Linked DNA regions of Drosophila melanogaster. The protein of the gene in region 1 interacts with the protein of each later gene in a pairwise test. Each region holds a gene or a part of one and is shown in the gene's direction. Other genes may lie near its edges. The genes, in order: CG6665 and CG12766.

Region 1 (4,105 bases):
AGAGCAACGAGAATTAAGTTTACATATTAATTTAATTCTGTTTATTAAATATATTATTCTCGTATCGATAATATATCGAAAGTGTCTAATGCTTCCTCAAACCCTCTGGTCACACCATGCTCTGCTTTTCCGGGCTTCTGCCCAAAAATAATATATAATAATAAAACCGCTTCACAAAGTAAATGTCACCAAAAGAGAAGGCAGTTCAAGAAGCAACCGAGGAGCTGATTTGCCTTTTTCCCTCCGCAGCAGTGTCCAGGCCAGAAGATCCGTCCACATCGTTTTAGCTGTGAGGTATGCCCTCGACCTGATATGAATCACATGCCCGCCGAATGATAATCGACTCCACCCAAGACCTAGAAATCTGAAATGACAGAGAAAGTGACTAAACTGGCGCTGGCCAGTCGCCTTATCGTCCTCCTGGTACAATTGGTCGCCAACGGAGCCCTGCCAGAGCACAAACCAGATGTATTCCGGATGCCGGTTTCGTCAGATCAGAATGCCTCCTGGATAGACAAGGTGATTAAGCGCTGCTTGGGAGGATTACGGCACTGGGATGGAGAATACTTTCTGCATATAGCCGAGAATCTGTACAGCTACGAAAACACGTTGGCCTTCTATCCACTATATCCGGTTGTCGTGCGTCACGTGGGACAGGCCGTGGAGGCCATCGGGATCTCCTTATCACAGGAATCTATCCTGCTGGTGGTGGCTGTCGCCCTGAACTTCTGGCTCTTCTGCGAGTCAGCTAATTTGCTGTTTCAGCTCACCCAAGTATTGTTCAACGATTTAAACAAGAGCTGGAATGCGGCCCTCATCTACTGCTTTAATCCGGCAACCATTTTCTTCACCGCCGCCTACTCAGAGACCTTTTTCGCCTACTCCAGCCTTCATCTGATGCTGGAGTGCTCGAAGCCGACGGGTAGCTTCCGATATCTGCGTTTGGGAACCGCCTTAGCCGCCTGTTTACTGTGCCGCTCAAATGGATTAATCACCTTGGGATACCCGCTCTACTTCTTCGGACGCCAACTGCTACTCAAGAACAAGGAGCCCAACACCTGCATGCAGCTGACACAAATGACGCTGACCATTCTGGGAGCCATTGGGATACTGCACACCTACTATTTCTACATATACAGGCTATACTGTCTGCCGAACACAAGGCCAAACCATCCGCAGCACATTGTGGACTACGCAGTGGAACGGAAGTACCTATTGTCTGGCCAGGGCTCTGAAGGATCACCTTGGTGCCAGTACACGTTGCCGTTCCCCTACACTTACGTGCAGTCGCACTACTGGGATGTGGGCTTCCTGCGATACTACAAGTGGAAACAGCTGCCCAACTTCTTGCTGGCCCTGCCCATGCTGAGTTTCATGCACTGGCACTGCTACGACTACATGCAGCATTTGGCCAAAGCGGTCTGGGCCAAATTGACGCCCTCTGGCTTCAAGGAGCTGATAAGGGACCACACCACATTCCCTTTCGTGCTGCACGCTGCGATTCTCACCCTTGTCTGCACCGTCTACGTGCACATCCAAGTGTCCACACGCCTCCTGGCCTCGGCCACACCTGTTTTCTACTGGTTTGCCGCTGACCACATGCCCAAGACACTGGCCCAACTAAAACTGCGTTCGAAGGCAGGAGCTCTCTTTGTATGGTGCACCACTTATAGTTTGGTGGGCACGGTGCTATTCAGTAATAATTACCCGTGGACGTGAGCAAAATGATTGAAGTAAAAGGAGCAATATAACTCGCTGGTTGCCAAAGAGACTGTTCATCCGCATGGATTTCTTTTTTAGTGTGTAAATAATCGTCCAAGTTCTCAAAATTCAATTGTTGAGGCGCTCAAAAGTATTGGTTTCCCATTTCTATTTCCATATATCATATACAAAAAAGTAAAAAATAAAATTGTTGACCATTTTAGAAAATAATTGTAATGATTGTTTTGTATTACTGTTACATAAGTTTACATTTTCCTAACCATTACAAAATTATGTGTTTAAAATTTGCGCTTCGTTTTTGAAACTTGGTATATAAGATATAATTATGTATTTCTAGTATTTTCCAAACGTAAGCGGTCACACTCAGAATCAGCTGACTTGGGTGGTTGACCAAAACAACAAAGAATTTTCTTGAGAAAATTGTTTATTATTTCATATCCGCGAATTAAAAAGTATTCGCCATGGATGGGCATCTGCGCCTGCATAAGGTAGGCGACTACGCCGCACCGAGTCTTCAGGAGAAGGCCAGCAAGGCGGGCGGCAACATGGAACAGCTTTCGGGCGTGATGATAATCATCATAATCAGCGGAGGAGTACTTACTTGCCTGATGCTGTTCATCTTTGCCAAGCGGCAGATTATGCGCTTCCAGCTGCGAGGACGTCGGGGGCCCCACGTTCCGGTAGGCAATGATGCCAAGAAGGCACTAAGGAGAGAGATTGAGCGGCGCCTAGATTGCATCCAGAAAATCACGCAGGAGCCGAAACTGCTGTGGGACGATGGCGACAAGTACATCGTTCAGCCGGAGCAGGAGGCACCATTGCCACCCTACTACTACCGCATGAAGGCGGTTGATGACGTGAAACTGCTAGAATCCGAAATAGCGAGGGCGGACGGTAGCTCCCGACATGCTCCTGAGAGCTTGAGGGCCTTTCTGCTGACCACTTTATCGGTGACGCTTAACGGAGCAGGGCAGCGAATGATTCACCAATATTGCGATATGTACGAACATGCTCGGCACGATCCGAATGAGTTCGGAAAGGATGAGTACGAGGCGTATCACCATTTGCTGCTGAAGCTGATGGAGGCGTATGTGAACTAGAGTGGGCTATTTGTTAATCTTTTCAATGACAATGAACTTTGCTTTTACCTTACAGATCCAAACAGCTAAAGAACTACAATTCTCGTAAGGCATCGCCTGCACGAACGCCCAGAAAACAGACCAAAATGCATTCCCTACTAGATCCTGCGCGCCTGCGTCCGCCCACGACATTGGAAAATGTGCAGCCCAGCAGTGAACTTAAGACTGGACAGCACGCCAAGGTTAATCTGACTCTGGGTCTGCAGGGAGGCGGTGGTGGCGGTGGCGATGGTCCCGCCGAGCTAGCCACAAATCCTCTTCATCTTCAAGCACCCTCCGACAGAGATCTCATCATACGCAATAGAATTAAGACACCCACACTGGATGACATCATCGTAGAGGCGGACCACCATCAGAGCAGTGATGGAGGTGTCATGGAGGACAATGAGATTAAGAGTATATCATCAATGCAGTTTCAGCGGAACTCCAGCAATGTCTAAGACAATTTCCAAAGAATTCAGTCACTTTTTCTTATTGGCTTTTATGTCTGCCAGGAAAATATGGGTATACATTTTTTTGTTCTTTATTTATTTGTTGGAAAAAGGGCGAATAAAAGCCGATTGCATCCTATGCTATCTATAGTTTAGCCCATAAGAATTGCAAAATATGAAATCTGCGCCTAAAACTATGGTAAAATGGATTACATTACATTAATTTTTAAGTAAATAAAGATTTCTAAATATAAATCTAATTTAAATAAATCTAGACTTGGTTAAAAAAATTTTTAATTCTTTTCTAAGAGTTTCCTATTTCTTGTTCTTGCAAGGATCTTCCTATTTCTTGCAGGGATCATCCTTTTTTCTTACATGGATCTTCCATCTAGCAAGCACCCTTTTCCTTCGCATCGCATTGGTCGACCAACTGGGCATAGAGAACTAGGTCAAGGAGACGGCAGGAATATCCGGTCTCGTTATCGTACCAACTGATCAACTTGACGAAGTTATCGTTTAGGGCAATACAGGCCTTGGCATCAAAGACGGATGCAAATCGTGAGCCGTTAAAATCGGTGGACACCACCTCCTCCTCCACATACCCCAGGATTCCCTTCATTTCGCATTTGGATGCAGCCTTTATGCACTTCTTGATATCGTCCATTTTGGCGGGCTTAGAAAGCCTACAGGTGAGGTCCACCACCGAGACATTGGGAACTGGTACACGGAAAGCCATACCCGTTAGCTTCCCGTTTAGATCCGGAATCACCTTGCCGACGGCTTTAGCGGCTCCCGTGGATGCGGGTATGATGT
Region 2 (4,310 bases), on another chromosome or scaffold:
TGCCGAGGGCGTTATCAAGCGGGAGGACATCCACATCACCACCAAGGTGAGTTCTGTGATTAGTCAATTATGAAATGCCCAACATCCTGAAATGGAAATCTATACTCCCCAGTTATGGTGCCACTTCCATGAGCCGAAGAGGGTGGAATATGCGTGCCGCAAGACTCTGCAGAACTTTGGTCTGCAGTACGTGGATCTCTACCTGATGCACTGGCCCTACTCCTACGTCTACCGCGGCGACAACGAGATGATGCCCACCGATGCCAAGGGGGAGGTGGAACTCAAGTGAGTTTTTAATTTAGTCAATTACTTTTCTAATGCGGGTGTGCTTCGTTTGTATTTGCTTGACTCTTAATGACCAAATTTGTGCTATTACAGCGATATCGATTACCTAGACACCTGGCGCGAAATGGAGAAGCTCGTGGAACTGGGCCTGACCAAGAGCATCGGCGTATCCAATTTCAACTCGGAACAGTTGACTCGCTTGCTGGCCAACTGCAAGATCAAGCCAATCCACAATCAGGTGCGTCAATTGTGGTTATGCCTTGGGTTTCATATTCCTAATAGACCATTTTCCAGATCGAATGTCATCCCGCGTTGAACCAGAAGAAATTGATTGCTCTGTGCAAGAAGAATGACATTGTAGTGACCGCCTACTGTCCCCTGGGCAGACCCAATCCAGCAGAAAAGACGCCCAACTACATCTATGATGCCAAGGTGCAGGCAATTGGAGACAAGTACAAGAAGTCCACCGCCCAAGTGGTGCTCCGATATCTGGTAGGGATTACGAACTAGGTTTAATGAGAACAAAAACTCTTTATTAACATAATGTTTATCGAAATAGATTGAGATTGGAACCATCCCATTGCCAAAGTCCTCAAATCCCAAGCGCATCGAGGAGAACTTCCAGATCTTCGACTTCCAGCTGGATGCTGAGGATCATGCCATTCTGGATTCCTACAACACCGGAGAACGTCTGATTCCCATGACCCACGCCATCAAAAGCAAGAACTATCCATTTAACATCGAGTTTTGAGCTGGAAAGCAGGAGCAATGTTTGATATTAATTAAAGTGGTTGTTAAATCTGATATTTTGTGTACATATACATATGTTTTTTAAAAATAAACACCAATAATAATTATTTTTGAGATCTTTTTTCATGTTGAAATATTTATGTTTATTTTGGAGATTTTTATATAACAAGCACACTTATTTTTTTTTTTTTACATAATATCGCATTAGTTTTACTTTTAAGCATTTTGATAGTACGTAATTCTTCTATTTTAGTCTTATCACTTGAACTGTTTCTTATTTGCAGTCAAGGGTGTGGCAAATATTTTAAAGGGGCATAAAATATAATAAACATTTGAAGTCATCTATGAAAACAATACGAATTCATTTTGTGATTATATACATATAATCTTAATTAAACAATACCCTTTTTTGGACACCACTGCTGAACATTTAATGATTTGAGAGAGAGCTTTTGCTCGATCATTTAGTTTTTAGTGTGGGCTTGGCATGGAAAATTCCACTTAATCAAAATCATTTGGTCTAGTACAATTTCGCCAACACTTGTCTGAATTCAATTATTCACAACTGCAAGGCAGATTGCAAAAATGAAAAGCTATAAAAGGGAAGAGAATATAAACAAACCCACATGTAATAGGTAAATAAACAAAACTAGCGATAAAGTTAACCGAATCAGCTTTGCGCGCCACTCAACTATCAAGCTATCGATAAGTGTTTTTCAAAAGTGTTCCCACATATTTTTAAATGGGATTTTACACATGATTTGGTTTGGATCATTTATAAAAAATATGTGTTTAATTTATCCTTATTAAAACATTAAAATAATGCATTTAATATATTGGTTAGCACACTTAGAACCTACGCTCCTTGCGTCTCTATAAACTATTTCCAAGTTTCTCTGCCAGCTTGGCCGTGTTTTATCTGCAAATGCAAAAGGTCTTTTGAAGGTTCTATGGGCCCATTCGAAAACCTTATAACAGAGGTGAAGCGAGCAACCCAAGCATTCAGTGTTCAACTTTGTAACCGCGAAGATGACCGGGAAAGTGGAGTACTACTTCAAGCACAACGACGGAACCCATATCCAGGGAATCGGACTGGGCACCTTCGCGGTATGACATTGACTGGTTGATCATAGCATATCCGATACGGATCAGGAATGTCGCCTATCAGTAGCCGGGTTAACGTCATTTGAAGAACCGCTAACGTTATTGATGACTTGTGATTTCAGTCGACGGAAGGCGATTGCGAACGGGCAGTTCTCCACGCGATTGATGTGGGCTACCGGCACATAGACACCGCCTACTTCTACGGAAATGAGGCCGAAGTGGGTGCGGCGGTTCGGAAGAAGATTGCCGAAGGCGTCATCAAGCGGGAGGACATATTCATCACCACCAAGGTCAGTTGGCAAGTTCTTATAGCAGGCATATCATAAACTAATCCTTAAGTGGCCACATATTTCCGCAGCTCTGGTGCAATTTCCATGAACCGGAAAGGGTGGAGTATGCCTGCCGAAAGACCTTGAAGAATATTGGCCTGGATTATGTTGACCTCTATCTGATTCACTGGCCTTTCTCCTATAAATATCGCGGTGATAACGAACTGATTCCCAAAGATGCCAATGGAGAGGTGGAACTTGTGTGAGTAAAATGAATAATATATGAAATATTTCGAATCGATTGGCACTTACAAGTGATTGTGAAATGCGCCTTCTATTATCAGTAATCTTACTATGCCGTTTACTTGCTTCAAACTACAGAGACATTGATTACCTGGACACTTGGGGCGCCATGGAGAAGTTGGTTGACCTGGGCCTGACCAAGAGCATCGGAGTGTCCAATTTCAACGAGGAGCAACTGACGCGCCTGTTGGCCAACTGCAAGATCAAGCCAATCCACAATCAAGTAACTTAGTCACAGGATGTTCCCTCCAGTTTCTCAACTCATATTGTTCTTTCTGCAGATTGAGGTACACCCCGCGTTGGATCAGAAGAAACTGATTGCCCTGTGCAAGAAGAATGGAATCCTGGTGACCGCCTTCAGTCCACTGGGCAGGCACAATGCCGAGTTGAGGACGCCCACCTTTATGTACGATGGCAAGGTTCAGGCCATCGCAGACAAGTACAATAAGTCCATTGCCCAAGTGGTGATCCGATATGTGGTAAGGATTTTCGATTTAGGCCTTATGTTGAACCGGATTTCTCATGATGAATTCTAATTTCAGATTGAGCTGGGAACCATCCCGCTGCCCAAGTCCTCCAATCCCAAGCGCATTGAGGAGAACTTCAATGTCTTCGATTTCAAGCTGGATGCTGAAGATCATGCCATCTTGGACTCGTATCACAATGGAGAACGTGTTGCCCATGCCCGACAAGCCATCAAGAGTAAATACTATCCCTTCAACGTGTATAGTGCTTGTTTTTGATACAACAAATATATTTAAGTTATTATGATTAATAAATAAATAGTAACCCTTGTAAGGGAATGCCCAAAAGCAAGAAGATTTCTAACGTCATTTACAATCGGTAAGTATTTTTCGTAAGTGTTTTGTATATGTCTTTTTTGGCCTTATCATCACAAGTACTTCCCATTGATATTCACATGGATTGGTTAATAAATCAAACAGCGCGGCACTTTTTTGTTCCAGTCATTCAGTTTTTTCTTAGAGAATGTATATATTTCTTAATGCAAAAATTTAAAAACTGATATACTTTTACAACAAAAGTGAAAACTTTTATTTTTGATTGTATTTAAATCGAAGTTGTACCCGTATCATAATGCACAATAGAACAGATAATAGAAAATAGGGTAGCGGATCCATTATGAAAGTCAAGTTCTCGATAAGAAAAATATAAGAAGTCGATTGTTTTACCCAGCTAGCTGTGAAAATAGGAAATAATATGTTTGTATTAAAATCTACCAATGTAAATAACATTAAAAGCTTTTTCTCTGCTGCATTTAAAATAAAATTGAAATGATCAATGTCATGAATAGAAAAATGTTACAGCGAATATTTTAAATTTCAATCTCGCGGTATTTTGTAACGCATTACAGTATATTTGCTGGCTGTAAGAAATATCGATAGAGCGGTTGCCGAACAATATCGATAAGTATTTATTTACTCTTCCAAATATTGTGTGATATTTTTATGTGCGCACATCCATAACAAATATCCTTGCAAATCGCCGGGAACACGACGAATTGCAGGTAAACAAGATGCCAGCAGTACGTGGACATTACAGCAGCGAAGATTACGTGGAGCAGCAACAGCAGGAGGAGTA

Evidence for each region.
Region 2: the proteins of CG6665 (region 1) and CG12766 interact in a two-hybrid assay, tested with the Drosophila melanogaster proteins (one large-scale study listed by BioGRID).

Annotation. Positions count from the first base shown.
Region 1 is NT_033778.4:16,955,384-16,959,488, forward strand, and holds CG6665 (uncharacterized protein), read left to right. Parts: upstream 1-2,081; 5' UTR 2,082-2,183; coding exon 2,184-2,809; intron 2,810-2,877; coding exon 2,878-3,301; 3' UTR 3,302-3,544; downstream 3,545-4,105. Other genes in the region: PIG-V (phosphatidylinositol glycan anchor biosynthesis class V), read left to right, coding at 370-1,719; CG9010 (uncharacterized protein), read right to left, coding at 3,681-4,105.
Region 2 is NT_037436.4:3,937,839-3,942,148, reverse strand, and holds CG12766 (uncharacterized protein), read left to right. Parts: upstream 1-2,023; 5' UTR 2,024-2,064; coding exon 2,065-2,142; intron 2,143-2,261; coding exon 2,262-2,429; intron 2,430-2,497; coding exon 2,498-2,670; intron 2,671-2,789; coding exon 2,790-2,934; intron 2,935-2,992; coding exon 2,993-3,190; intron 3,191-3,253; coding exon 3,254-3,454; 3' UTR 3,455-3,525; downstream 3,526-4,310. Other genes in the region: CG10863 (uncharacterized protein), read left to right, coding at 1-46, 113-285, 379-523, 580-777, 845-1,036.